Tamandua tetradactyla: one gene and its partners. The protein of the gene in region 4 interacts with the protein of the main gene of each other region in a pairwise test. Links are inferred from orthologs where the notes say so. Each region holds a gene or a part of one and is shown on either strand. Other genes may lie near its edges. The genes, in order: ZBTB43, ENTR1, RUNDC3A and AP1M1.

Region 1 (7,112 bases), on a different chromosome or scaffold from region 4:
GCCTGGAGTACTTTCAGGCTGTAATGATGGAACAGATTGGCACTGGGAGTGGGATAAGGGGACCTTTCCAGGAAACGTACAGACCGTCAGGAATGCAGATGCATCCTGTACAGTCACAGTCCTTGTTCCTAAAGACCCTGGCTCCAATAGCATCACAGGAAGAGCTGCCACCACACAAACCCCTAACCCTTCCTCTGGATCCGAGCTTGTCCAAGGAGGAAATATAACCCCCAAGGACATGGAAAGCTGCACATGAAGAATATGGAGAATTTGGGGAAGTGATCCTTGCCCATCACTACTCCTATTCCCTCCATCCTTCACAGTGCTTCCTTCATGCCATCCAAGAGCTGAAGACATTCGTGGGGCCCTAGAATCCACTCCTTAGATGAGCGCACATAGGTCCCAAAGGTCCTGGGTCAGGACTTTCTTGCAGAGCTAATGGAGACATTCAAAAAGAACAAGTGAACGTGGAATTAGGCTACTGTTCCAAATCCTGAGATTTTCATAGAGGGAAAATAATTTTAAACTGAGGAGGGGGCCTACTTAAGAATGGAGTGGTATTTTTAAACTTTCATGAGCAACTAAACTCAGGTATATATAGGGAAGGAAGGTACAGTTCACTACTTGTACTATTAATGTGTTTGGAGCTGGGTCCAGTTTAGAGAATTTTCCTGTTGCCTTTTAAGGTAGCTTTTGTTGTTGGTGGTGAATGTATTGTACATAAAGTGGGAAGGGTGGGTGTGAACATGGAAGAAATGGGAGTCACATCTGGGGTGAACACACAGCACTGGAGTAATACTTTACTATTTACAATTGTGTCATACTGAATACTTTGAGAAGGGGGAGAAGAGGAAAGTTTTAATCTTTAAAAAAAAAGCTTTGTTGGTAGCGTTGACTACCAACTTGATCTGAAAAGTATTCTGTTTTCATTCTTGAAAGATAGTTTTGTTGAGTATGCAATTCTAGGCATACAGTTATTTTCTCTCATCATAATGCTATTATTTCATTAATGGTATTATTTCATGCTGTTATCATTTTCTTTATTACCATTGACAAGTCAGGATTTGATCTCATCGTCATTCTATTGTAGGTTATCTTTTCTGTCTATGTGCTTTAAAAACATCTCTTGGGGGTGCAAGGGCAATTAAGTGGTAGAATTCTCACCTGCCATGTAGGAGACCTGGGTTGGATTCCCTTTCCATGCACTTCCCAAAAAACAAACAAGCAAACAAAAATTCAACAAATGGTGCTGCAATAATGGGATACTCACATGAAAAATAATGAAATGTGACCCCGCTGTACAGTATACAAAAAAAAAATCATCTCTTATTCTTAGTGTTCTACAGTTTCACCACAATGGTTCTAGGTTTCCTTTTCCTTATCCTGCTTGGAAGTTATTGCACTTTCTGAAGATTCTTTTCTTTTGTTAATTCTGGAAAATGTTCATCTATCATTCTTGACAATTTCTGTGCCCACATTCACTTTATTATCTCCTCCTAATATACCTGATAAGCACATTAATCGTCTCATTTTTTTCCATTTCCTTGTCTCAGTAGGATGTATTTTGGGTTATTTTCTTTAAATACATCTTTCAGTTCACTAATCTCTCTTTAGCTGTATCAAATTTGGTATGTAACCCTTCCAATGAGCTATACATTTAAACTGTTATAATAGGAATGTCTTTAATGTCTATGTGGTTCTTTTTAACATTTTGTCTGATAATTTTTGAGAATCTCTTGAAACTCACTCATGTTTTTAGTTGCCTCTTTGTTTAATAAGTTTTTTTTGTTGTTGTTCTGCTTCTAAAAGTCTAATATCTAAAGTTGTTATGGATCTGCTTCTATTGCTTGTCTTCTCTACTTTCTCATGGGTTCTGTGATTTTTTAATTGTGATTTCATATTCTTTTGGAACTCTTATCTGTAGGAATTCTTTGAGATCTGGGTTAACAATGAGTTCTTTCCACAAAAAAAAAAAAGGAGAGATTTTTGCTTGCTTTGGCCAAGTGCCAGAGGCACTACCCATCCAGATCCATTTTAAATTCAAATGCTCAGCATGCGGGCTTTAGGACCATGCAAAGAGTATGAATTTATCCCCTAAATCAGTGTTATTGCCAGACCTTAGTCATGAATACTCTAGAGGAATGTTTTTTCCATCCACTCAGAGCCAAAGCAGAACAAATTTTCTTGCTACCTGCCTCTGCAGGGCAGATTTTATTTTTTTCTAGTCTATCCTTTCCTTAAGGATGTATTCTTTCTTAGGTCCCAACCCAATGGTTTGATTTGGCTCTCATCCTGCCTGGACCCAGGAAGATGCTCCTGTATCTGGTAGCAGCATTAGTGTTTACTTTTCTCCAGAGATGATTTCCAAGCCTAGCACATGCACAAACCATCAGAACAGATGCATGCAGTGCCTGTGGAATCTTTCTGTCCTAGGTTTGTATTCCTGCTTTCTTCCTGGCCTCAGATGATTTTCCTGACTGTCTTGCAAGTTTATTCGCGCATTTAGAGGATATTTTCAATATTTCTTCTAGCAATTTTATATATTTTGCTGCAGGAATATTTAGAGATATACAGTACACACTACTGCTAGAATAGAAGTCCAAGCAAGAAGTTTATGTAGCTCATGAAGTAAAACATTTTTGGGGAAAGCAGTTGCAAGCTGGAACTACAGCTTATTGTCTAATGAGACCTAGCCTCTCAGTCTTTCTTTCCCCTTCTCTGGCCTTAGTATTTGGCTTGTCACTTCATAGGCACATGATAATGACTGAACTTTCAGCCTTCCTGTCTGAGTAAAGGCAAGAAGAACATAACAGGCCATGCTGAACTAGAAGTCCTCATCCCACCTTTATAAAACATGTCCACAATTCCCACCTCCTGACTTCTGCTAAGTTATTACTGGCCAGAAGTTGGTCACATGACACACTAGTCTAATTAGTTCATGAGAATGAGATTCTCATGAATGAGATACATGAATTGTGAATCATCTCCTCCTGGTGGGGTGAAGATTTACCTTCCCTAAGATCAAGAGATCTCCTCTATTACCTTAACAAAATGAGGTTTTTCTTGGGAGGAGGGTGGCTAAAAGGTGAAGAGGAGTTACTACAATACCCGATCTGTGAGAATTTTTGGAGGCCTGGTTTAAGGGTGTATGCCACAGTAGGAACGGTTAAGAGGCTGAAGCATATACCCTTGAAGCAGAATTTCCTTTAACAAGTTGTTCTGTACCCGTCCCCATTTCTGTGCCTCAATATATGTTTTCTTTGGTTTTGTTTCCTAGAATCTTTTTGGTGAATTCTCTCAGAAAGGCTCAGGCTCCTTTATGCTGCACTGATGGAAAAGGGGATCGAACTCTCCTGAGGCTCAAATTGGTCCAACACTGCACAGCTGGTTAATTGGGCAGTTTGAGTTAAGACAGAAATAAAATTGAAGCGGCGTGCCTGGCCCGGCCTGGCTAAGTATCCAGCCCAAATCCAGAAACCACTCTGACCAAATCCCTGCAGCTGCCTAGACCTAGATTTCAGGTTAATATGGACGAGCTCTTCGGTAATGAGGGGCCTTGGTCTCTAAGCAGTAAGAGTCCTACCACTTAAGTCTTCTCTTCTACGCTAATGTTGTGAGGGGCGGAGGGAGTACTGGAAAAGGGGATTTCGGAGCGTAGAGGAAGCGAACCCGGCGCCCAACACAATGCGAGCCACACTGAGGACAAGGATCCTGTGACTGAACATTAATTGAGCACCTACTGTGTACTAATGTGGGGTCTCTGGAGGCAAAGATTTAACACAGTCTGTTAGAAGAGATGTGTCGGGCATTAAAAAGCGTTTGAAGACTTGATATTGGCGCCCCTATTCCCAGAGGCGCACACAGGGACTGGAGCCCTGATTAACTAGCTCCCGGCCGAGACAGCGCAGGCGCATGATACCCCGGAAGGCTACCTCAACGCTCCACCTTGAACGTTAGCCCCGCATGCGCATACCGCTGTCTTTCGGACGCACTCCCGGAAGCACTGGCAGTTTCGGGGCGGGACTAGGAAGCGTTTCCGGGGGCGGGAGGTGCAGGCTGAGGCGGTCGCGGCAGCGACAACTCGAGCGGTCCGGGTGCCGGCTGCCGGCTGCGGAGAGAGCCCCGCGGGCGGGCGATGTGAGCGCGAACCCCTTGATAGGTACGGGGGAGTAAGGACAACGGGCAGCGAGGGGGGCGTGAGGGAAGCCGGGAATGTTCAAGGGCTTCTCGGCGGGCCCGGCGCGCTCACCCTGTCGGGCCCATTCAGCCGACCGGGATGCTGAAGCCGCGCGCGGGCGGTTGGCGGCCTGGCTGCCTGGGTCCAACTCTCGTGATCTCCAGCCGTCCACCGGCGCTCGAACTGCGACACGTAGGGCCCCGGGACAGCGTCTCACCCAAGGTCACCCTGCTACCACCGAGCTCGGTGGGTCCGAGCGCTTAGAGATCCCGCCCCCGTCTGACCGCGGGCTTTGCGGGGGCGCCCGGTGGGCGTGGCCTGTCTCCCTCAGGTTCGAGTCCCCAATCTGCGACGTCTGGTGAGCCAAGGCCGGGAAAACGGCTATTCCGTGACTTCACTGATTTGTCCCTGTCTCCTGGGTTCCACCTCTGTCAATGTCTGTCACCTGTTGTCACCTGCCTTTGCTTTCGCTAAACTTGGTCCTTGTCAACTTTATGTTTACCTTCATTCTGTCTTTCTCGAGGTCATATATGTGTATCTGGACCCTGCCTCCACCTTACATCTGCGTCTCCCGAACCTGTCTTTGCCTCTCAGCCCTTACCCTCGTTTTTGGCCTGTTTTTGTCAGTCCATCCCTTTGGCCATCTGTTTTGTTTTGGTTTGGTTTTCTCCCAATGTCTATGTCTGCTCTTTTGTTTCAGTTTCTTCTAACTGGGTAGGGCGGGGTGGAGTAGGCCTGCCTGGACCTCTGAGCCACGGAAGGTGACTCATGATCCCGTAAAGCTCCCTGTACTGGTGACTTTAACGGGTGACTCTGCCAAGTCTGGCCTTAATTCTGACAGGTGGTGCCCAACTAACTGTAGGGAACAGGAGCGTGTGGTGGGCAGGCAGGCGGCCATCTCAGGGCCACAGCAGCTTGATGATTCCTTGCCTTTTCTTGCCCATGGTTTTTCAAGCCTGTACAGTTCTCCACATCCCTCTGACCCATCCAGATATCCCTCAGAAGCCTGCTCTTTGAGTTAGAACTTCTTAACCAGGTCTTCTTACAGAGTAAGGAAGGATCCAAACTCAGTTTCTCTGCCCTAATGGCTCTTAGAACAGTAGCAGGATTTCTGGGAGAACTTCTTGTTTAGTTCAGAGATTGTGTCAGTATGTTCAGTTATTAAAACCTACTAAGAGTTCATTCTTTGCTTTACAGAACTGCTCACGGGAGAGTCGTGAAACTAACAAGCTCTTCTGTTGTTAAATTCTGCTTTTTGAAAACTCATTCTGTAGCTTTTAGAAATATTCAGTTGCACTTACCTTTAGGTTCAGTGTTCAGCGAAGGGCACAGCAGTGAATACAGTTGAGGATTCCACCAAAGGTCTTGAGGCAAGGAGGTTAATTAAAGCAAAAACAGATTTCTGCCCTGACTCTCCTCCCTTCAGCTTCCTTTGGTTTAGTGAAAGAACCTGCTGTAAGCAGGAAACTTGAGGAAAATTTTGCATGAAGAAAACTCATAGGGTTAGAAAAATATTATTTTAATTATCATAATGCAAAATTGAGTATTATTTCTTGTGTTTTTCTGATGGGGAAGCCCTTTGTTTTATATTCTTTTATTTAAGCTATCACTTTGCCCCTAAGATAGTTTATCAAGCTTTCTTATAAGACATAGCAGCTGAATTACTACCATATTTCATTGAATCCTAGATGGATAACTTATTGAAACACCAAGAAAGAGAAAGCATTGCTAATTAAGCTATGGCATAATGATTTCTTATTGTTAAGGCTTTTTATTTTATTTTATTTTTATAAAAACACCTTTATTTAGACATTCCAAATAAATTTATTTGTACTTTATTTAGGCATTCCAAAACAGTATTATTCTAATGTTTTAGAATGTCTAAAGTGAGATAAATTGGTTAAGGTAATCATTAAGCTTCTTAACATCCAGGTCTAAATCTTCTGAATACTTTTAAATTCAGAGTCAGTATTTACACCCATGTTTTTCCACACTGGGTTGTTCTTTGTGCCATCAGAAATATTGCTGAGGTTCTCAGGAGTGCTCTGTCATAGTCTCAGGCACTGACAGCTATTTAAAACTGACTCCTTGCTGTTACAACCATATTTCAGAAATTTTAAAATGTGAAAAAAATGTGCTTCTTAGAATCAGTGGAATATTTTTCTGTATCACTTTTCATAAATTTTTTCTTTTCTCCTTATTTATATTGCAGTTAGAGTTGGAATAGATTTTTGTCTTGTTTGTAACATGTTGGGGTAAAACTTTTATTTTGTTAGTAGGTAGTTAATAATTTTCATGAAATAAGTGCTGTTCCTGCTTTGTGTTTTCTTGAGTTAAGCTTCTTATTCTGAAATCTAATGAATATAATGGTGCAAATAAAAACATGTCTTTGGCTTTATTGTAATGTATTGGGTTAAATGAGGGCTATAGTATAATGCATTCTCTTTTGAGTTCCAAAGAGTTTACCATAATGGAACTTTTGCACTAGACATTTTAAATAAAACAGTCATTGTAGCTTAAAATTGAAGGGAGTTGTAAATCAGACTTCATAAAGTAGTTGGCTTTTCTTTTAAAGAAATCTTGAAATAATTTTTACTGGAGACAATTTAAGAGTACTGATATATACATTGATTGGGAGACTGAAGACACTTTTCTGAAGGATATTTGAATTCTGCAGAATTATAAAAGCATTTATGATTGTTGATTTCTTACAAAGGCATTTACCAGTGTTGGTTCTTAGTTTTGATAATAATAATGTAAAATGTGAATATTAAAGGAAACTGGGTGAGGAAAATACAGAACTCTGCATTATCCTTGTAACTTTTCTGATAACCTAAACTTATTTCAACTTAAAGAGTCAATTTTAAAAATACCAAGGCAGATGCTAAGAAGGTGCAGAATGGAAGTTAATGTAACCAAATATACCAGTCTTAGT
Region 2 (7,260 bases), on a different chromosome or scaffold from region 4:
CCATGCAGGAAAAGACTCGGGCCCTGCCAGCTCCGATGGGTTGGAGAAGAAGGACACGTAAGTGCTACAGGGTGAGGCGCTGGCAGCAACCCTCAGCGAATGTGTCTGCTCCATGGCCGATGGCAGATAGGTCCCATTCCATCCATCGTCCTCATCCTCATCCTCATCCAGGAGGTCGCCGGCCCCTGTCGGGTCTTCAAAAAATGGCTGCTGGTACTCAAGGCCATACCCCATGGTCTGGGCTGTTGGGGAGCTGTGCTGAAGCCCCAGTGAGTGCCTCGTGGCTTCCTAAAGAAAAAAGCAGGATGCAGAGCTTCTGATTCAGTAATGAGGTTGTACTTTTTTTGTCATGTGCCCAGCCCTTAAAAAAGGGGTTCACCGGGTCTACTGGAAAAAGGAGATCCCCAGAGGGCTCCAAACAGCTTTACTTCTTATCCCCACAAAAACCGCAAATGGCATTAGCACCTGGGCTTTGCCTCGCAGTTCATGCATTGCCTCCTCCAAAGGATGCTGTGAGCCAGAAAAGAGATGTTCTCTGAAGATCTTTTCTATCTACAGGCACTAAAAACAACTCCTTAGATTTACCTTTGAATAAATCCTACTGTTGGTCGTGTCCTCTTTTGACAGGTTGAGATTCTTGGTTTTCAGAAACTCTTTAAAGGAGAATGGATTTGCCTCTTCAAGATCTTCAAGTTTATCATCTGAAAAAAAAAAACCAAAAAATAATAAACAGTAAGGCAAATGTTTGAAGTCAACAAAGGTTATTAAAAGGGAACCTTCCCATTAGTTTCTCTTTCCAGAGCGCAAGCATATCTAGAACCAGAAATAGTCCTTATATCCCATGGTAACTTGGGTGACGCTAAAAAGTAGAACACAAACAAAAAAGTGGGCAATAAAACAGCTCTACCTCCTCACCCTACATTCTGCTCCTTCCCTTTTTAAGTTTCCTTGCTTCCCACATTGTGCTGCACACTCGACCCACCCAGGGTCAAAAATACTGACTTTGTACCCCACCCCATTCCCCTGTCCTGACAACTGGGGTGCATGCAACCCGGGCAACAGAAGGTTTAAAAGCACCTCAGATGCACAAAGTTTGGGAATCACTGTCCTACCTCACTCCTTCTTGCATAATTAACCACCAACCTGCATCTGTCCCAACCCTCCCTTCCCTCACCAAGGTGTCTCCCATGCCCCCAAATGCCTGACCAGTCACTGTAGCTGGGCCATCCACAGATTACTTTCTGAGTAGTAACCTTATGCCAGGCACCATGTTAAGCCAGCATCTTTGACCTCAGTCCCTGTCGTCCCTCCAGCCTCTTGGATGTCACTCTCTACCCTCCCTGACATCCAGGGTTCTTTTCTGTCACCAAATCTCAGGTTCTCCTGCCCTTGCACCTCCTTTCCCTCTACAATGAGATTAGGATTGAATCCTTTGGATGATATCCCAGCTGCTCTTTCCAGCTCCAGATCCACCACTAATTCCCTAGCAAGCCAAAAGCCCCACTACCTAAAGTGTGCCTCACATCATATGTCGGACAGAGAGAAAAAGAAAGGATTACCAAACTACTCTACCTCCAAAACGTGTCTCGTGGGCTCCTGATGGACCTTGCTTAGTACATTTCCCCTTTCCATAGCCAAAATCTGCAAAAAGACGTCACCCCACCATGACTGTGGGAAACCGTTATGACCATAAATTTATGTCTTCACGTTTTGACGTGGAGTCTCTATTGCAGTGGTTCTCATCACCCAAGGATGTTGTTTAAAAACTAAGCCCCAGGGCCCTGACCCTGCAGGTTCTGACTTTCACTGGCCTGGTGGGCCTTGGCATGTGTAATTTAAAAAAATGCTCCCTAGTGGATTCTGACTCCCAGTGGGGATAAGTACAGTGTTTGCCTGTCTTGTGCACACAGCGCCCCCCAACCCCACCCCTTCTCTGTGTTACCATTACTCAGACTCTAACACACCCACCTTCAACCTGCCCTTCAATCTTATCTAAACCCTCCCTGTATGGCCTGGATGTCAGGCAGTTTAGCTGCTTAGGAAGAGGGAGGGGGAGTTAGAACTGGGACCTGCCCAGCTGTGGAGACCAAAAACATCACTAACTCTTTTCCAGACAGGGTCTATTGCACAGAGGCTCCCTGGCCTTGTGCCCTGTCCCTCCACCAGTTCCACTGGGCTCACATCGGTTACAGCACCTATCATTCCGGATTGAGATTGTGTACCTAAATTGGTCTCCCCAAACTAGACTGTGAGCTCCTAGTGCGCGGGGACATTCTTCCTCTTTGAAAACCGTGAGTCTGGCACACTGGCCCACAGCGAGTGTGCGTTGCTGAGCAAATGGCTGTTAGCACTACAGCACAGTTACCTACAGGCAATGCAACAACTGGAGGGTTCCCTGAGGCTGGCGCCTTGGTCTCTCACCTGTGTCTCCCACTGAAGCTAGCACCGGACTGGGTACATAACACATAAACGTCGGCCGAATGCCGAAGAAGTGGGAGTCCAGGTCCCTGCCATGGGGGCGCTCACAGTCTAGCTGGGGGAGACAAGTTCGGCCCTCATAGAACGCTGGAGCTGTAAGTAACAATAAGAGCGACTTTACGGTGGACCGGGGGTTGCACCGGGGCCTTACGTATTACCTTACCTCGGCCTCAACATGACTCTGTGAGGTCAGCAGGTTCTGTTACCCCACGCGCGGAGGAGGCCGTCGCGACTCAAGGTAAGAGGCGGCATGCCGGCCTCGAACCGGCCCTGGACCCCGCGGCAGGCACTCGGGGTGCAGCATGACGCCCCGGGGGTTCCGGGGTCCTCGGAGTTGGGGGCTGAGCGCTGCTGGCCGGGGCCGACCCCATCCCCACCCTCCCAGCCGCTTTCCGTCCCCCAGGCCTCCCTGGGCAGCAGCCCGGCCCAACCCCGCTTACCGTCCGGAATGACTAGGCTCCGGGCTCGGGAGAGCGGGGTGACGCCCGGACGGCGCGCGTAGCCCGACATCCCCGCGGGCCCGGCCTTGCCTAGCCCGGCAGCGGCGGCTCCATGGCCTCGGCTCCGCTCGAACCGCGGCCCCCGTCGCCCGCCCCCGTCGCCCGCCCCTCGGCCGCCGCTGCTCCTCGGTGCCGCTGGCCGCTGCTTCCCGTCCGACGACCGGAAGCGCGCGCCGGAACCCCGCCGGCGACGGAAGTGGAAGTGACGACAGAAGTGGCGGGCGGAGGCACAAGATGGCGGCTGTGGTGGTGGCGGCGAGGCGGTTGCTGCGAGGCTCGGCTTCTTGGGGCCGCTCGCGGCTGAGGTGAGCCGCTGGCGAACCGGGTCTCGGAGGGCGGTCGGGACCGCTCGAACTCCTCCGACGGCAATGACTCCGGTCTCCTCGCGTCCAGACACGGCGTCGACTGGACGGGTTCTGTTTGGGAGATACCAGCTTCGTCCCCCAGGCGATGGGGGCGCTTTCCCGCCTTGTGTCTCGAGCCTGGTACCCGAGGTCCATCCGCGCCTCCTCTTTCCGGATCCTGAGTCTTCCCTCATCCTAACCCCTCCGGCCGAAGAGGCTGGTCCGAGGCCTTTCCATCTTTTGTGCCCGTTACCTGCCGCGTGCTCCTTTACGAGGCCAAGGCAGAGCAGTCTTCCCTCCTTTAGATCCAGATTCGCGGTTCTCACTGACACCAGAGTCTGTGCCTTTGGCTCCTGTGTTGTATGCGCTTCCCATTGATTGCTGACCCTCTCCCGGTCAACTCCTCCCGCTTCTCCCACCCCAGCGACCAAGTCAGCCTTTTGTTTCCTACTGGCACAGTCATGCGGGCAACAACTATGTGTGGACCACCTGTTGTATGGCAGACACTGTGTTAGGTGCAGGGGTGCAGTGGTAAGCAGAAACAGTTAACTGTCCTCTAGAAGCTGATACAGACTAAAAAGTGAACAGAGTCTCAGCAAAGATATGAGTGCTTTGAAGTAAAGAAGCAGCATTCGGTGACAGTAAGGGGAGAATAATTTTATATAGAATGATAGAATCATTCAAGGTGTCTCTCTGAGAAGATGACATTTCAGCCAGGGGACAAAGGAGGAGAGAAGGGTCAGCCATGTGAACAGTGCAGGCAAGAGCAAGGCAGACCCTAGGACAGTGACAGAGCGTTCCAGGAATTGACCGAATGATCAACATAACCGGAACCTAGGGAGGTGGGTGGGGTGGTGGTTAGGAGATGACTTTGAAGAGGGGACCCAAGACCAGATCATGCAGGGCCTCCCTAGCCAGGGAATAGAGTGCGGTTTTTCAGAGTTCATTGAGGCCGTTAGGCCAGTGCTGTTCTGGCTGCGTTATATCTACCAATTTACTTGGCCTTAGGTCCCATGGCTGAGCTATGACTTGTGCCCAGACATGGTACCCTTGATCCTTTGTATTCTCCTTTGAGGAGGATACACAGGCACCCGGGTCTGAGTCTTTCTGTTGTAACTGGGCGGGTTTCTCTGCCGCAGGTTCAGAGCCCCCGCATACCGACAGTTTAGTAGCGGCGGTACCTATCCCAACATCCCCCTGTCTTCTCCCTTACCTGGAATACCCAAGCCTGTTTTTGCTACAGTCGATGGACAGGAAAAATTTGAAACCAAAGTTACCACGCTGGATAATGGGCTTCGGGTGGCATCCCAAAATAAGTTTGGACAGTTCTGTACAGTAGGAAGTAAGTACTATTATGGGTGATTTCATTTGTTTTAACGGGTGTATGTTTCAGTCAACAGTGACCCATAATTTCTGTATTAATTACGAATTGTACTGTGAGTGAAAGCATGCTGTAAAACCTGAAAACTTAGTAACCAAATTAGGAACAGTGGTCATTTTTGTAGGTGGTATTTAGGGTGGATTTTTTTCCCCCTTTCTACTTTTCTATAATTCTGAAAGAATTCTGCCACAGATATATACATCACTGTATTATCAGAAAAATGTAAAATAAATTCTTTTTTAAAGAGCTTTGCCAAGGTATAAGTGGCATACAGACCATACACTACTAATATCTATAATCAAATAATCATTGCCATACATATGCACCTGTGAAACTTAGCATTACAATTGAGATAATGATCATAACTATCACACCTCCATAATTAAATCTGGTTATTAAGCTCTTTCACAATTTAAAAAGATTTCTCTTGATGAGATCTTCTGTCTTGAACATTTGATTTGACATTTGATTTCTTTTTTTATTACAAGTTCTTATTAATTCAGGATCAAGATATGAAGCAAAATATCTTAGTGGAATTGCTCACTTTCTGGAAAAATTGGCATTTTCGGTAAGTGTTTGATTTATGATATTCTGAGACTGGGGAAGAAGCTTTCCTTTTTAAGGGTGGTTTTTATTTTAATAAATGATTAAGTTGCTAAGTTAATGCTATTTAAAAACCTTTGAGTTAAAAGATAACTTGACTGTATGTATTTTAGAAGGGAAAGTAAATTTCCATCTTAAAAACTGTTTTCTAGGGATTGTTTTGGATAACTTATTTAGGCTCTCTTATTTATTTCCACCAGTCTACTGCTCGATTTAACAGCAAAGATGAAATTCTGCTTACATTAGAGAAACATGGAGGTATCTGCGACTGCCAGACATCAAGGTACAATAGCTGTTACTAAAATAAAGCTTGTTTTGCCTCCACTTTGAACTGTCTTTTTCCCTCTTGGCCGAAGTGCCACTGAGCCCCACTGTCGGAGAAGTCAGGGAGGTGGACAGTGAGAAGGGGCCCTGGTGACTGGTTGGAGCAATGGAGAGCTGGGTGGGCAAGATGCACAGAGCTGGGAAGGCAGTGGTCTGCTGAGGGGCAGCAAGAAGCTGTGTGTAGCTAGAGCACAGACTTGGGGGATGGGGGGTGGTAGAGGCTGTGGCAGTGGCAGGTGGGTCTTTGCAGGCCTGGCTTGGAGCTGTCAGAAAGCTCTGTCAGGACAGTATGAGGTGGGCGCATGATTTATGGATTATTTTTAATTTGAATGCTTTGCTGTAGTTTTTTGCATACAAAGAAATTACATATAAAAGACTTACAAAGTGCTAAGGATTGAAGTTAGAAGTTAGCGTGGAGGCAACATGGTCACCTTTTTAAACAGGTCTGTTAAAAAATCTTGGCCCCAGCTGCCCCTACGCAGCTCCAAGCTCCTTACCTCCTCTGATAGGCCTCAGCCACTTGTAGCTCAAGCTGTTGTTCCTGCTTTTCTCCCGTCTTCCTTTCCCATCCTCCCCCCCACCCCCATTCTACCTCCACCTGGTCCTGCAGCCACACTAAGAATGGCCTCCAGTGGAAAGGTCCAGAAATCCCCCTTCCGTCCCAGGCCTCCCCACTGCACCCAGCTCCCAGGCCTCACCCCTTCCCATGTGCCAGTGGTGTCTGTTCTGCATAGTCCAGTGCTGGACTATCTCTGACCCACTCAGCTGAAAACCTCCATTCACATGGTACCCCAGGTTTCTCCTGCCATCTGAGACCAGACACCTTTCCATATTAATCCGCCAGTTTCTTCATCAACACCAAGGAAGAACAGAATGAAACATTTTATCTTTTGGAAGCATGTGGTTGCATACATCTTTTTCAGAATTGGCTCTTTAGCATTTTGACTTGACGAGTCTTTTATTCAGGTATTTACCTGTATGCAGTTATGCTTCTTGCCTGCTAGGGATTTTTACTGTAAGACTAATAGGAAAAGACTTGAGAATGCTGATCCTTAATGAAAAGTAATAAAGGACACCCACAGGTGTGCAAGTCTTTAACACGATGTAATTGTCCTGTCCCGGTAGGACCTCAGTCCCCAGTGCTGTTGCTTTTTTCCAGAGACACCACCATGTATGCTGTGTCTGCCAACATAAAAGGCTTGGACACTGTGGTTGGCTTGCTGGCTGATGTGGTCCTGCAATCCCGACTGACAGGTATGAACCTGGGACATAAGAGGTGGACCGGGGGTGATGGTGGAAGCACAGCATTCTTGGTTATTGGAGGAGTTGAGTTTACATTATGACAGTGAGTTATGACAGTGAGTTGGCATGATTTCATGGGAAATTACACTGAGGAATGGAAAACTCCTTTGCCTTTAGAGAGAGCCCTTAAAACTTGGACACCTCTCCTTGTACTTTTGACATTTCTTGAGAAATTGGATTTTTCATTTCAGAAAGGCTCCTCAGCTATCTATCTTGTTTTTCCATTGCCCTTCATTGCCTTGTGGATGGCAGGACTCGTGAACTTCCTGCCAGGAGTGGACAGGAGATGGGATGGTGCTGATTGTTGCAGCTGCCTCCCTACCTGCTC
Region 3 (7,579 bases), on a different chromosome or scaffold from region 4:
CAGGCTGCTTAGAACTGTCACCCCCCCCCCAAGGTATATAAGCCCTTACAGTGTGGCAAGCATTATATTTACATGTATTATCTCATCCAATGCTTACAGCAGCCCTGGGAAGTAGAGTCTCTTATCATCATCATCATCATCTCAACTTTATAGATGAGGAAACTGAGACTCCAAAAGGTTGATCTGTTCGGGGTCATGCATCTAGCCTGGGGAGGGGTCAAGCAGGTGTGGCTGATTCCAAAGCCCTTGCTCTTTTTGCTCCCTCCTGGAGCCTGCTGGGGACTGTCATGATCACCAAGGCCCTGTGCAGCCACAGCCTCTGTGGCCCTCATGCTGCAAGGCTCTAGCCCTCGAGTATTGGCTTCTGAAGCCCTCAGGCCAATGGTCCAGCTGAACCCACAGAACCTTCCCTTTCCTTTTGGGCTGAGAGTTGGTCTGGCCTGAGATCAGAGCCAGGTAAGGGTGGAGCTGCACTAGAGAAGGCCTGGTGGATTCAAATACTGCTTTTTTTGTAATACTATGTGACCTTGGACAAGCCACTTAATCTCTCTGAAGCCAATTTTCCCATTGTAAACAGGAATAATAGCGCCTGCTTCATTAAATATTGGTTTGCATCCCCGACAGGACTGGGAGAAGGTAAATGTGTGCAGGCCAAGAGGAGCTGGACCATTAGTGGGGAGGCTGTCCCTGTTGAGCAGGAGCCTGCGTTTAAGGCATTAGCTGGACTTCATTATCCAACCCGCCTCCTCCAGTTTCTTCTGGTCATCTGGGTCAAGCCTCGGTGGAGGCCAGGGGCTGGGTTCAGTGTGGCAGCCATCTGCCATCTGCCCGTAGGGGTGCTGCAGAGTGTTTCTTGCCCCTGGGAGCCCCGTGGTGTGCTCTGGGTTAGGAGATGCGGTGCCTGCTGAGGGTTACCATGGTGATGGGAAGGCCTGGGCCCAGGGGAATGCATGGCCTGTTACATGTTCTGGGAGCCGGAGGCGACCGTGTGATGGCAGTGAGGCAGCAGGAGCCTGAGGGGTTTCTGAGTCTTTATCAAGCCTGTTCCGCCCAAACCGTACAGCTTACTCCTGTGCTCTAAGACCACCTCCAGACCACCAGAACCTCTGCGTCTCCAGCCCAGGCTAGGGGGAGTTTCCCTGTTCCCATACGCACTCGAGAGCTACAGCTATCTTGACAGGCAAGAGAAAGAAGAAGGACCTGGGAGTACAGAGTGAGGAGAAAGTTGAGAGGGCTGTCATCAGATCAGGGCTGCATTCTGTCACAGTCATTCTCTGGGGTGGCTGTTATACCCACCCGTGTACCAGGCATGGGGATAAGGCACTCAAGGCCCAGAGTGGTTAGGATAGTTCACCAAGGCTGCACAGCTAATACATGATGATATAAGGGCGTGAACCGAGGACCATTGGCCCCAAGGGCAGGAGTCTTCATTTTAGAGCACATTGGCAGGGTTGGAGGTGGTGGTGTGTGAGGGTAGAGGCAGTGGCCTGAACTTTGGGCCAGGCCATAGCTGCACTCCCTCCCTCCATAACATTCAAGGTGTTTTTATGGATGGTCTGATTTGCCCAGCACTGTGCTGGGCACTAAGGATGTGATGGTGTGAGATAGATGCAGAATGGTTGAGTGTGTGCTCAGAAACCTTGAGGGAGCTGTAGGGGCCAGGGGCCAGGGCACCAGTGTGCAGGCGGCTAGGGCTGGCAGCTGAGCCCTGCATGTGGGACCATCTGCCCTGAGAGGGCCTACTCCCCAATGCCTGGGAGCAGGACGGCAGGAGAGGTTGCAGGTGGAGAAGGCAGCTGGCATGGGGACCCTCGAGGGAGAGGCAAGTATTGGTGGGGGATGCAGGGAGTTTGTCTGGGTGGCTGGGCACGTCCTGCCTCCAGGGAAAGATGGGGAGGGTGAGTCACTGCAGGATTGAAGTGGGAAAGACCACTTCCTGGGCCCCAAGAAGGCAGGCAAATCTCCCTAACACTGCGACAGCCCCACCCTCAGGGCCATCTAGAGACCGATGGCCCTGTCCCCTTTCTCCTTCCCTCGAGCCCAGGGGACACAGGCTTCTGTAGCTGGGCCCTTGGTCCTTCCCTTGGTAGGGACAGCAGCTCTAACCCTTCACTGGATGGATTTGGGGGCTTTGCCCACATTTCCAAGCGACTCTGCTACAGGCTGCAGCTGCCCAGAGATAGAGGAGGGCACAGAGTCCCTGCTCCAGGATTTGTGGATAGCAAAGTCCCAAGACAATGCTCCACCGCAGGGAGACCAGGCTCTGGGCATTTATGCCCCTTCAGTTCTCCTCTGCCCACCTCACAAACCCCCCACCCCGACCCGACCCCAGCAACGGAGCCAGCCAGGCCCCCCTCCCCCTCACACACAATGTCACTTCCTGGTTCTCGCAGGAAGCTGCAATGCCAATAAAACACCCCCTCCCCCTCAGGCCCTTGGCCAAGAAGGGTAGGTAGCAGACTTCCAAACCCCCTCCCCATTCTGGACCTGCGAGGGGCTGTGGCAATCTTTTTAACCCTTTGATCCCCTTCCTTTCCACTCGGCTGCGGTGCCTGCTCCCGCGGGCACGCTCAGTCCGGGTTTCCGCAGCCCGCCCCAAGCCAGCTCCCGGAGCGCCCCACCCCCCGCCCGCCAACGGCGCCCACCTGCACACGGTGATCAGGTTCCTACGCTCCACGGCCACGTTGCGGGAGGACGCTTTCTTGGAGGACAACCCTAGAGCCATGGTGGTCTGGACAAAGCTCGCTTCCATCCAGATGTGCGGCTACTGCTGCCGCCACCCGCTGCCCCCCACCCCGCCCGGTGCCCCGGCTCCCCCGCCGGCTCACGGCTGGGGCCTCTGCCCGCCGGGGCCCCTCGACCCCTCGACGGTCATCTCCCAGCCTCAGCGCCCGGCGCCCGGCCCCTTCGTTCCCTCCCCCGGCGGTGACACCAGAGCAAAACAAGGCCGGGGAGGGAGCTCTCCGAGGTGCTGAGCCGGGGCCTGTCACCCCCTCCCCCAGCCGCCCGGCCCCCCCGCTGGTGACGTCAGGACCCCCGGGCCCCGCCCCGCGGCAAGCAGGGGACCAATCCGCCGAGGACGCAGGGTTTGGTGGTGAAAGGGGAAGGGCCGAGGCCCCAGGGATGTCGGAGGGGGTCCCCTGGAGAGGCAGGGATTGGAGAGAGGAAGGGGGGACCACTGGCTGTCCCCCGCCCCCACATTCAGAGCCCGGGACTCCTCGTCCCGCGTCTGTGAGCTCCGACACCTCTACTCTAAGCTTCTGACCAGAAATTGTTAGTGTCTGTCCCTGATTTCTCCCCCTGCTGTCTGGGGAATGGAGGTCCTCACCTCCGGTAACCCCACTCTAGCGCCGCCCCCACCCCATCGCCCCTTTCAGCATCGGCCTTCTGAGACCAGGGCACTGGCTGCATCCGAGAGTTCAGGTGGCTGACCCTGGAGGCTAGGGAACGATCAGAGGGACTGCGTGTCGTTTTGTCCCTCTACTCGTGCTTGATTTGTCGGTCTGCCTTGTGGAGCCAACTACTCCAATGGTGGGGGATGGGAATCCAGAACCGCTCAGGACTGTCCCGAGGCTCTGGGGATGTTCCCAGCACTGTGGGGCCACAGCAGCTGGAGGGAGTGGCAGTTAAGGCACGGCTTTCCCTCAGACCTACCCCCTCACACAACCCGAGTCAGCAGCGCTAAGGGTTAACCCTTTGACTGCCAACATTGTTGCAGGATGCTGTCAACCCACTCTAAATGGAGTCACTGATCCCGGTGCAAGGCCACCAGGGCCCTGCAAAGCTGGTTGCAGCTTTTCCAAGTAGGTGGGGAAATGGAGCATAGTCTTGCTTCCCTGCTACCCTTTGCCTCTCTATTAGTCTCCCACATCCTGCTTCCAGCTGCTCCATTTCTCTATTTCTCTATTCAATCTGCCTAAGGTAAGGCAGCCGGTTCCTCTTTCGGGCACTGGAATGGGCAGCTACCAAACAAAGCCTTTCTAGGCTGATCGGAGGGGCTGCACCCCTTCTCTCCATCCAACCTCTGGGACTTCCATCCCAGGGCTCAGCTCATTAACCAGCTCTTGCCACCCACCTAATTCACATTCCTGCTTCTATTCTGCTAATCTATAGCCAGAGTCTCTGCGTTGATTTAGATGCTCACCCAGCAGACAGCAATTCTGTTACCACCAACAAAGGAGGAGAAGGAAATGAAGGACTTAGAAGCTCCCAACCCTTGTTTGGCTCCCTGAGAGCTAGGGAGAGGGTTCTGACTCCTAGCAAGGGAGTCAGAATTCTTGAGTTCTTGGACCTAAGACTTGGTCTTTTTAGTTCCTCCTCTTGCCTCACCTCTCTCTAGAAGCCCTTCTAATCATCCAGCCTCCAGCCCATAGCTAGCGGCAGCATTGATGTTCTTTTGTTTTATTAAATTGCAAAATATATCATATGCATAAAAGCAAATAAAGTATGAACAGTTTAAAGAATATTTACAAAACAAACATCTGTGTAACCCCCTCTCAGGTCAGGAAAATGAACACTATCTGCCCTGGGAGCTCCCTTGTGCCTCTTTCATATCTCATCTTCATCTGTTCCCTCAAGAGGCAAATGCTATGCTGACAATTGTGATAATCATTTATTTCATTGCTTTTCTTTATAGTTTTCTTATCTATGTAGGTTAATGTGGCCAGCTTTACAATTTTATAGTAATAGAGCCATATTGTATGAATTTTGTAATTTTGCATATCAAATAGAGTCTAGTTACAAAAATAGAAACCACATTAAAAATTTCAAATAGAGGGCCATGGTGGCTCAGTGGCAGAGTTCTCACTTGCCATGCTGGAGACCCAGGTTCGATTCCCGGTGCCTGCCCGTGCAAAAAAAAAAAAAGAAAGAAATTTCAAATAGACAGGATAAAGTATGGGGAAAGGAGTTGGAGGACGAAAAGAGCAAAAAAGAGAGAGAGAACACAGAGACATCCCAAACTAGTAATTGAAGGGAGCAGCGAGGGCTGAGGGAACAAAAGGGAAGAGATGAGGTCACAGCAATCTCGGAGCTTGGTGGAGGGATGCTGTTGAGTTGGCGCTCAGACTCTGGGCCAGGCCACCCTGCTGCGGCTCATTCCTTTGAGGAGCAGCTACAGGGCTGGTTCTCGGAATGTAGAAGAAGCTGAAGACTGGAGGCGACTTCCGATGAGCGAATGACAGGAATATGAGCAAGAAAAAATGGGAAGTCCCTTCCCCCTTCCTCCTGCCTTCCAGTCACTCCCTCGTGCCTCCTGTTAGCAGAACCAACTAGAAGGCCAGCTAGCCGTGGCATCTGGGAAACCAGTTTGAAGCATCTGATGTTCCACCCCGCATCAGAAAGCAGAGAAAAGAAGAATGAAGTTGGAGCTGAATGGTAATAAGTAAGTAACCGGCACAGTCCACCCCCTGTCTACTCAGCACCCATACCCACCTTTCTACCCGTATTTGGACAATAGCAACTTCGTGACCCTGCCTAACAATGTAGCGTGTCCTTCACTCAAACGAAGATGCTCTTCCCCCTTCTTTAAAAAAAGAGATGCAAAGTCCCAATAGTAACGGTATCCATCTCTGGGTGACAATAATATCCTCATCTGAGGCAAATGGCTCACACGTTGATGCTGACCCTGACTCCTCTCAATGACAAGGGTCAAGTCTCATCAGGGACCCAGTGGAAAAGAATCACCCCAGCTATGGGGGGAAAGGAATTATTATACTTGGGGGTGGATCTTGAGGGTGTTGGACTGGGATCAGGGGGTGGGATAGAAGGCTGGATTAGGGAGAGTTTACTGATCTGAGGGTGTTATGGTTTGAAGCATGTGTACCCCAGAAAACATCTTATTTTTAATGCAGTTTCATTGAGATATATTCACATACCATGTAATCATCCAAAGTACACAATCAGTGGTTCACAGCATCATCATATAGTTGTGCATTCATCCCCACAATTTTTCAACATTTTCATTACTCCCCCAAAATAAAAATAAAAGAGCCCCCCAAAACATCCTATGCCCCTTATCCCCCCCTATTATTTATTTATTATACTTATTTTTTTTCTTATCTGTCCGTACACTGGATAAAGGGAGTGTCAGCCACAAGGTTTTCACAATCACACAGTCACATTGTAAAAGCTATATAGATATATACAAACATCTTCACGCATCAGGGCTGCTGCAACACGGTCAACAGTTTCAGATATTTCCTTCTAGCTATAATAATCCACTAAAAACTAAAAAGGGATATCTGTGTAATACTTAAGAATAACCTCCAGGATGACCTCTTGACTCTATTTGAAACCTTTCAACCACTGAAACTTTATTTTGTTTCATTTCTCTTTTCCCTTTTGGCCAAGAAAGCGTTCTCAATCCCACATTGCTGAGTTCAGACTCATCCTGGGAGTCATGTCCCATGCTGCCAGGGAGATTTACACCCCTGGGAGTCATGTCCCATGTAGAGGGGAGGGCAGCAAATTTACCTGCCAAATTGACTTCAAGAGAGAGGCCACATCTGAACAACAAGAAAGGTTCTCTACTTAATTATGAGTAGGCTTATCTTCTCCTTTGCAGGAATAAGTTTCATAAGGGCAAACCCCAAGATTGAGGGCTCGGCCTATTAAATTGGTAGTCCCCCATGCTTGTGAGAACATCAGGAACTCCCAAGTGGGGAAGTTAAATATTTCCACATTTTTCCTGTCCCTCAAGGGGGCTTTGCAACTACTTCTTTATTCTCTGCCCAGATTACTCTGGGATGTGTCGGGACATAACACTAACCTGTACAAACCAACAAGATCACATTCCTTATTCAAAGTTCCATGTAATTATGGCGTTCAAATAAACTGACCGTACAAGTTAAATTAGATAGTGTGCTACAGAAAATATAAATTTTGCACCAAATAAACATCTCTCCCTTTGGTCTCACACAGAAGTTGAAGTTTTAAAACATGGTCACTATCATCCTTTATACTGTATTCTGATTTACCTTAGTTTTAACCAGAAGTGCCACATTCGTATCTCTTATTGATGTCTGATCTCTTTTTCATTTTTAAACAGTTGCTGTATTGAGTAATAATGACTTTCATAGCTGTAAACTCTAGCGCTGAGCCACAGGTGTCAAGCAGATACCCAAAGTTCCAGGGGACAGCCAGGTTATATACAAAGAGCTCAGTATCTCAGAATTTAGAAGTAATCATTATATCTCAGGAACAGATGTGTGTGCTGTAAAAGCTTACAATTTAGGAATCTTTACAATAAGACTTCCCCTGATAACTTATGCTCTCCGATTCAATTTTCCAAGTTTGTACATTATTGTTAGTCCGTGTTAGTGAGGCATTATAATATTTGCCTTTTCGTTCTGGCTTATTTCACTCAATGTACTGTCTTCAAGGTCCATTCACCTAGTTGCATGCCTCACAAATTAATTCCATCTTGCAGCTACTCAATATTTCATTGTATGTATACACCACAGTTCACCCTTCCTTTCATCAGTGGATTGCAAATCAGGAATACTGCTGCCATAAACACCAGTGAGTAAATGTCCACTCATGTCCCTGCTTTCAGTTCTTCCAAGTATATACCTAATAA
Region 4 (7,795 bases):
AGCCCCTGACCCCCCGCAGCTCTTCCCCAGAGAGCAAGAGGGTCTTGGAAAGAAGTCAGACTGGGTCCCTGCCTGCGTGCATCTCCCAGCCCCTCCGCCCCTCTCCCTACTCTCCCCCTGGCACGGGGCCTCGGCACTTGCAGTTCCCTCTGCCTGGAAGGCTTGGCCCTGCACCTCTGCGCAGACACACTTCCTCCCAGAGGCCTCCCCACCACCCCACCCTATCGTCACCGAGGCCGACACGCATTCACGTGTCTTTGCCTCTCGCTCCCTGAGACCAGCGATCACGCCACCTCACCCATGCTGGCGGGCAGCATGCCCAGCCCACAGCGGGGGCTCGCCAGCATCTGGGGAGGAGGAAAAGGAGCTGGAGTGACGTCTGGGTATCTGGCGTGACGTCTGGGTATCTGGCATGTGCAGCAGTGTCACCCACTGAGAGGGACACCGGGTACAATGGGGAGCTGGTTTTGGAAAAGGCCAAGTTTGGAGGACAGGGTGAGAGCTGCGGTGTGAATCTGAGGGTAATTAACAGGCTACCAGGGCGAGAAGGTAGCGGAGGCTGGTCCCGTTGGGCCCCGTCACCCAAGGGGAGGCAGACAGAAGGGGCTGGCCAGGAACAGCGAGGAGAACAGAAGGAGACCCAAAGGGCACAGCCCAGAAACCAAGGGAAGCGGTCTGGATGGGAGAGCGGTCCTGCTGAGGAAGTCAGATGAAGGTGGCGAAGTGTCCCTGGAGGGCTTTCCCCAGCCACGGTTGGTAACTTTGGGGTCCAAGGCCTGGCCTGCAGACAGATGCATGGTTGAGAACTTCTTCATGTGCCACTGACTTACTCTTGATTAAATTCGTTCTGTTCTGGAGGCAAACTTCTAAACTGTGAGGTCCACAGGGAGTGATGACACCAGGCGCCTGGGCTGTGAGAAGGGGACCCGCAGTGGCCCGGGGAGCCCCCCGAGAGGTGAGTCTCCCCGTGTTCCTCCTGAAATGCTCGTCTTGCAGAGGCTCTGCTGCCTGTGCTGACAGCTGCCCACCTCCACTCCTGCCTGGCCATCCTCACCACCCACGGCCCTCCCAGAACCAGGCTCTGGGCTCCAGCGTTGCCCAGACTTCTGGCTTGCAGCCCTAGCAGGCAGCTCCACTGGGACACTTCCTCACCTAACTGCCACCTGGTTCATCTTTCCAAACCCAGCCCCAGCATCTCCCCTCCACCACAGGCCTCTTAAACCTCTCCCTTCCTGCCAGCCAAAGAACAGGTGGACAACCACATTCCCTTGGGCATGTCCCTGCCATTGTGGCTGCCCAGACCCGACTATGTGGTGATGTCTCTGCTCCTACATGTGACCCCTGCCCCATTAGACAGCAAAGTCCACGGGGGGGGGGGGGGGCTGAGCCCATCTCATACATTCACATTCACTCTGTTGAGTCTGCAGTGACCCCATGAAGACTCGCCTGACCAACGAGGAAAGCGAGGCTCAGAAAGGAGAAGGCACTTGCCCAAGGTCACACAGCTCAGCCCTAATTCCTCAGCCACAGTGAGGTAGTCACACCAATGGGTCCCTTGACCCTGGCACTGGACTTGGTGCAAGCTGCATGCTCACACAACATTTGCTTTAGGAATGAGCCAGCTGAAACAGGCAGCCTGCTGGCACTGCTGGTGACAAGGGGGCTCGTACTACAGGCAGTCAGGGAATACTGCCCCTGCCAGCCCCAGCTGTGCTTTGTCTTCCCTGCCTCTGGGTCAGCCAAGGAAGGAAGCCCAACCACGGGATCCACAAGTTGTTGACTCTGGGTGGCATCCAAGGCGGTCAGCTCAGGCAAGCCCAGTTAAAGTGACTTCAGGAAAAGTGCTCAGAGAGAATGGAGGGGCAGGCACCTCACCTCTTCACTCCCATGTGTTTCTGCGTGAACTCTGGCCCAGCCCCTGCACCTGACACCCACATTTCTATCACTGATTGACGTCATACTTGACCCTGGACCAGTTCTCGTGACTCTTGACTTCAGAAGTCTTTCACCGGGGTGTACGTGGGGAAAGGCAGCAGCTCTTTTGAAAGGCTTCAATGCCTCTTTTCTGTGAGAAGCTTTCTCCCAGGTCCTCCTTGTGACTAACTCCCAGGTTCTCATTACATACCCTCACTACCCCAATCCATGTTGATAGGTGCTTCTGGGAACTAACATCTGCCTCCCCCACTAGACTGAGCTCCAGAAGGACGGCGGCTACCGCCGTCTTTGCTCCAAGTCTGAGCACCCTCTCTGACATTTAGCTCAGCTGAATCAACAGATGACTCCGGGTTCCATTCTAAGTCGACCGGCCACTTCTCTGGGGCTTGGGTAACGTCATGTTTGTTCACTTCTATGCCTGACTTTCCCATCTTGCTTAAACCTCGTACTCCATCACGTGGCGTAATTCCACCTGGGACAGGCCCCGAGAAAGCGCCGGAGAAAAACCTGCAGCTGCCTCCGAGAGCGCGAGACCGGCCGAGGGTGCCCTGTCCCCGCCCCGCCTCCGCCTCCGGCCAAGGGTCGCGCGAACCATAGCCGCGGGGCCCAGCTCCCCAAGCCGGCCAGACCCGCCATATCCCCGACTTCCGGGTGCCGGGTGCCCCCCAACCGAGGCTTGAGCCCCGCCGCCAGACGCGCGAGAGATCGTGTCGGTTTCCTGCTGCCGGTTACTCGGCAACGGCAGCGGCCCACCGCGTTGCCTAGCAACAGGGCGGGGCCCATAGACCCAAGACCACCGCCCGGTTACCTGGTAACAGGGTGGGGTTCATAGGTGAGGGCCGCCGGCCTCCAGGCCTGACTCTAGGGTGGTGCCCGCTGGCTGGTTACCTAGCAACAGGGTGGGTCCCCGCTGGGCGAGGCCCCCGCCGGCTGCCTGGCAACGTGAGGGTGGGGAACCTCCATACCTTGCCCTTCAGGTCCAGCACGTAGACGGCGCTGGCTGACATGGCGGCTACCGGAGGCCTCGACAGGGGCCTCAGGTGGCGGCGGCGGCGGGGGCTGCCGGGCGTTGAGGAAGACCGGGCACGCCCCACGACGGTTCCCCTCCACTTCCGGTCCCGGGCGCCGCGCGGGGACCGTTATATCCGGTCAGGGAGCAGCTGCTGGTTCTGCGCAGGCGTAGGGCGGGGTGTGCGCAGGCGCATACGTTGATTCCGGCTCCCGCCTCCAGCATCCGGGAAGTGAGGCCCAGAGCGGCGGGCTGAAGAATCAGGGCGCCCTCTAGCGGCCTGGCTGGACGACGGCCCCAGAGCAGCTGGAAACCCCAACCCGTGCGCCGAATCAGGTGAGAGTTTCAGGTGCTGGAAGCGCCCTGCGCACAGCCCTTAGGAAGTCTAGGAAACTAAGAAATGCACAGTTTGAGAGGGAGCGAAACCTTAGGAAGTCACTACTTGTCATTGTCTCAGTTGTCGTCCATGACCTCGTTTGTGCCTGTTTTAAGTCCTGGAGTGACCTAGTGAAAACCATCCCCCTCGGAGTACAGACACAAAGTACATACGTGTTTGCATTAAGTGCAGGTTAGTGGCCATGGTGAGTGTTGCAAACTGTGGTCCCTGACAGATCAGTTGATTCACATTCCGTTTGCTTTAGGAACACTCGGGGTGTGGGGTCATGCCTGCATTCCACCCCAGTAAACCGTCCACACTGCCCTGGAGAGCCAGCCCTGCAGCCCACCTGTCAAATATCTTGTCTCTACCCTATTTCTAAGTGGGGTTTGAGGGATGGTTCTTGCCACAGTGTATTTCTATATCCTCTGCTCAGGAGAGAGATGTGTGAGGAAATCCAGAGTAGAAAACTGGATGAAGACAGCTAAGGACCCTGCAAACCTTCTGGCACAAAGGGTGTAGCAAGAAGCCGAGACAGGGGCTGGGGCACCAAATGTCTGGCAAACGAGCCCTGAAAGGAACGTGATGAGATGTCAGGGTGGTGCCTGTCTGCTGCCTAGGGAGAAAAGCAGGGTTCTGTTCAGCAAGAGTTTAAGTTAGGGACCAAAATGCAAGAAATACCTGGCCTCATACTCTGCCCAGTTTATTACAGTGTGTGTGTTTTAGTCTTTTTGTTAACCAAACTGTCCGTGCTCACTGTGGAAAACTTGGGGAAGTGCCAAAAGGAATTAAGACAAAAAAGATCACCAAGGAGAGGTGAACACAACACCTCTGGGCCTGCTGTCGGTATTGTTTAGATGTTCAAAATCAGCATCAAGAGGACTGGGAGCAAGTGATGGGACAAGTCTTTTGAGGAAATAAAAGACTCCAGGTGCCAAGAGTAACTCTCAATCAACGCTTTCTCAGTAAACAAATTACCTGTAACCCCCTTTTCTCCCTACGTGGGGGTTTTTGGGTCACATCTGAATTTCACCCTTGGTTTTATTTTATGTACTAGCTGGATAAGACTTCTGCAGTGTCACAGAAAAGACCCAACCTGTAGACCCGGGTTTTTCAAACTTTGCTGTGCATCAGGGACACCTGGGGAGCTTTGAAAAATCACAAAGATGGGTCCCCCACCCCAAGCCAATTGAAATCAGAATCTCGGGGCTGGGAGTCCAGGCATCAGTGGCTTTTACCGCACAGAATTTGAGAACCGCCATGGTGGACTCCAACAGTGGGGGCTGCTTGCCACTCACAGCTAAGAGAGGTCCCACCCACATGCTCGGGGTGTGGCCACGTGTCCTTCTCTGGACAGTGAAATACGTGGGGGGAGAGAGAGACAGATGCTGGAAGACAAAGATGCCATCTTGCACTTTCCTGTCCCAGCTGAGCAAGCTGTGACTGCGTGACCTAAACTACCCCAGCCCATGGATGAGAACGGCCCAAACAGGCACAGTCCACCCACAGAAGGGGGAGATGAGAACCCCCTGCTGTCTCAAGCCACATCTGCAGCAGTTCTTCCGCGATCCACTGACTGTGATTAACTGGACCATCTACCATCCTGCTGGAGCAGCATCCCCAGTGGTAATCAAATGGCACGGAGTTCAGACCCGCAGACTCACACTTAATAAGTGGACTTTGCTTTATTTCGTAGTTCACACATGCTGGCTCCAAGCCCAACACTTGGTTTTCCTCTTGTCACTTTGTTACTCTTTCAAATCTACCCCAACAGCAACTTCTCCCCAGTAGCACGTGGGGCGATCCTGGTCTGGTGAACGGAGACCCTCAAGGTCCTGGCTCGCCAGCGCCAGCCCCTGGGTCCTCCCATTTGACTGCACCCAGGGCTGCTGGCCCCAGGACTCTGCCTGGCCCTGTCACCCCCAAGGTGTCCTGAGGCTGGAAATGCCAACCAGGCTCCAGGCCCCATGCCAACTCTGAACAAACATAAGGGACTGCGGGGCGAGTCAGGGTTTGGGCTCCATTACAAAGAGTGGTGAGATCCATTAGCCGTGTCTGCCATGGATACCATGGCAACACCCATTAGCAGTGTCTGCAATGGGGGCACTGGCACAGAAAGGGACAAGGCAGTCTTTCCACCCTCCCCTTGGGTGGCTGCTTCCCAGGCTGGAGCTATCCAGCTGGCAAGATAGCCGAGGGGCAGCATGAAGGCCATGAGCTCTGCACAGCTTCCCAGGGTCCCAGATGGAAAGTCACAAGCCCAAGCTTAAGGGAGCTTCCAAGGGCAGCCCACCAGGGTCCATGCTGGCATCAGTTCCTTCTCTGGAGGTGGTTTTATCCAGGCAGAGAGAGCCAGCTGGCTGTCCTCAGGGGGCTGGATGCAATTCAGGGAGGGAGGTGGGAGGCGCAACATTTTCACGTGGTACTTCTACAGAAATCACCCTCACCTCTGCATAAACTTTTAAAAATTTCCAGTCCAGGAAAAAAAGGTTTATCTTCTCTGTGCTACGGAGAAGCCAACAAAAATGAGCAAAAGGACAGTCTCGTTTTAATGAGTTCCGGAGTGAAGGTATCCAAGCCTTGAAAAGCCCTGTCTCAACAGAGAAATGCAAGAGTGTGGGAAAAAGAATGTGTCCTGAAACTGCGGGGGCCGGGTGGCTACTTCGTCCAGCTGACTTTGGGAATGTCGTAGTGCTCCGTGAGCGTGTCCAGGTGTCTGTTGAAGTCCTGGGAGAGCCAAGGAACAAGCTCGTCTCAGCCCAGACCTCAGGCCCGCCCTGCCTGTCCCACACCCATCTCTCCTCTTTGAGTCCCTCCTCCCAAACCCACCCGGCCAGGTCTCACAGAGCCCGGACACTGGGGTCCCCCCTAACGAGCCGGTCACTGCCCTCCCACCAACACTCCCAGGCCCCCTCTGCCAGACTCCGGGCCCAGCTGGGACCAGCACCCAACTCACCTCCACTCTCTGCTTATGGGTTTTAGATGCTTTCTTCAGGATCCTTTCCATTTGCTGAAGAGAAAGGAGAAACGGAAGTGAATTCACAAGCTCAGCTCAGCCTGGCCAGCATGTGACAGAGGACGGGAGCCTGGAATGGCTGAAGGTCTCAGGCTGCACGTTCTGCCCCCCTCCTTCACCTTCACCCAGGCAGGTCCGAAGGGGAAGCCCAGCTCCAGTGACCACTGGGAACCTGGGTCAGTCGCCTCTGTACCAGGCCTCATGAGGGGCAGAAGAGGACACAACATCAACCAAGCACCCACCAGTGGCCGCCCTGCAGGCACCTCTACGTGTGCTTCCCAGAGGGTGTGACACTGACAGTCATCCCAGCCGGGTTTTAGGAAGGACAAGAAATGAGGACAGTAAAGGGGTCAGCCAAAGGAGCTGCCCAAATGACTGCCAGCCTCAGATACGGTCACAGCGCCTGGCTGTCCTCACGGCTACCACGATCACACTGCAGAGGTGACTCTGGGGTACAGGTCCTGCACCTTAACCGACTCCAAAACAATTTCAAACCTGAGGGGCAGTACCTGCAGGGCCAGGCAGGCCCCGGGCTGTGCTTGGCTCCCACACTGGCTAGTGTGGCGATCACAGCCGACTCGCCCGGGTGCTTCCCAGGAATCGCGCCTCGCGGCGTTCATGCTCTCATGCAGCTCCTGCCACGTGGACTCGGGCCTGGCCCCGTGACTCAGTTTACACAACAGAAGGCAATAATGCAGAAAGCAGTGCCTGGGCTGGGATGGCGCCATGAGACGCATGGGCAGTGCTGCACTCTGGGAAGCCACCCACCATGCAGGTCTTTCCGGACCTACAGGACGAGAAAGCCCAGGGAGAGAGGGGCCGTGGGGCTGTGCTCGGGGCAGATGTGTGAGTGGTGAGAGGGTCACCGTGGGCCTCCAGGGCTTCAGCCCCAGCTGCCCCTTGGCTGCGCGAGACCCCAGGCCAGACCTGCAGGACCACCTGGCTGAGAAACAACAACACAGTGCTGTCAGCTGCCACCTGTGCTCCTCCCTCCGAGGTGTCTGCGCTGCCCCATCCCTGCGTCTCCCTCCCCTCAACCATGAGCCCACAGGAAGCTGGACTCTGTTCTCACCAGGCCCCTACAAGAAGCCATGCAACTAGACCAGCTTTCACGCAATAGCAGGTGCTGAGCTGGACTCTGCCCTCCTGTAGCCAAGTTTGCTGGGTTTCCTGGTGCTGTTGGTACCCCCACTTTGTAGATGGAGGAATCAAGGACCAGGCCATGCAGCTGGAAATGGGATGGAGATGCCAAGCTGCTGCCCCCTCCACCTGGCCTGGAAGCCAGGGGGCTGTCCAGCCTCTCCTCAGTCACTCTGATCACCTGACAGGCTCCCACAGGGCCACCTCATTTCCAAGCACTGCCCACCTCCTCCACCCCACCTGCTCACCTGCCTCATCTCCCTCCCCCCTCCCCCAATCAAACAAATCCCATTTAAATGATGATAATAATTTTCCCTTG

The links.
Region 1: the proteins of AP1M1 (region 4) and ZBTB43 interact in binary tests that used the Homo sapiens proteins (3 or more experiments, as listed by UniProt). The two-hybrid records come from large-scale screens. The link is inferred for Tamandua tetradactyla from reciprocal best matches to the Homo sapiens genes AP1M1 and ZBTB43.
Region 2: the proteins of AP1M1 (region 4) and ENTR1 interact in binary tests that used the Homo sapiens proteins (3 or more experiments, as listed by UniProt). The two-hybrid records come from large-scale screens. The link is inferred for Tamandua tetradactyla from reciprocal best matches to the Homo sapiens genes AP1M1 and ENTR1.
Region 3: the proteins of AP1M1 (region 4) and RUNDC3A interact in binary tests that used the Homo sapiens proteins (3 or more experiments, as listed by UniProt). The two-hybrid records come from large-scale screens. The link is inferred for Tamandua tetradactyla from reciprocal best matches to the Homo sapiens genes AP1M1 and RUNDC3A.

What each region holds. Positions count from the first base shown.
Region 1 is NC_135328.1:49,227,433-49,234,544, forward strand, and holds the start of ZBTB43 (zinc finger and BTB domain-containing protein 43), read left to right. Parts: upstream 1-4,044; 5' UTR 4,045-4,159; intron 4,160-4,288; exon of another isoform or gene 4,289-4,535; intron 4,536-7,112. UniProt on the Homo sapiens protein: May be involved in transcriptional regulation.
Region 2 is NC_135328.1:125,956,786-125,964,045, forward strand, and holds the start of ENTR1 (endosome-associated-trafficking regulator 1), read right to left. Parts: upstream 3,068-7,260; 5' UTR 2,989-3,067; coding exon 2,919-2,988; intron 2,572-2,918; coding exon 2,422-2,571; intron 1,642-2,421; coding exon 1,573-1,641; intron 702-1,572; coding exon 586-701; intron 289-585; coding exon 1-288. Other genes in the region: PMPCA (mitochondrial-processing peptidase subunit alpha), read left to right, coding at 3,213-3,283, 4,462-4,664, 5,192-5,271, 5,507-5,589, 6,790-6,884. UniProt on the Homo sapiens protein: Endosome-associated protein that plays a role in membrane receptor sorting, cytokinesis and ciliogenesis. Involved in the endosome-to-plasma membrane trafficking and recycling of SNX27-retromer-dependent cargo proteins, such as GLUT1.
Region 3 is NC_135332.1:23,158,537-23,166,115, forward strand, and holds the start of RUNDC3A (RUN domain-containing protein 3A), read right to left. Parts: upstream 3,008-7,579; 5' UTR 2,753-3,007; coding exon 2,646-2,752; intron 1-2,645. UniProt on the Homo sapiens protein: May act as an effector of RAP2A in neuronal cells.
Region 4 is NC_135337.1:94,820,463-94,828,257, reverse strand, and holds the start of AP1M1 (AP-1 complex subunit mu-1), read right to left. Parts: upstream 3,075-7,795; 5' UTR 2,943-3,074; coding exon 2,901-2,942; intron 2,873-2,900; exon of another isoform or gene 2,497-2,872; intron 1-2,496. Other genes in the region: protein FAM32A, read right to left, coding at 5,979-6,047, 6,277-6,330. UniProt on the Homo sapiens protein: Subunit of clathrin-associated adaptor protein complex 1 that plays a role in protein sorting in the trans-Golgi network (TGN) and endosomes.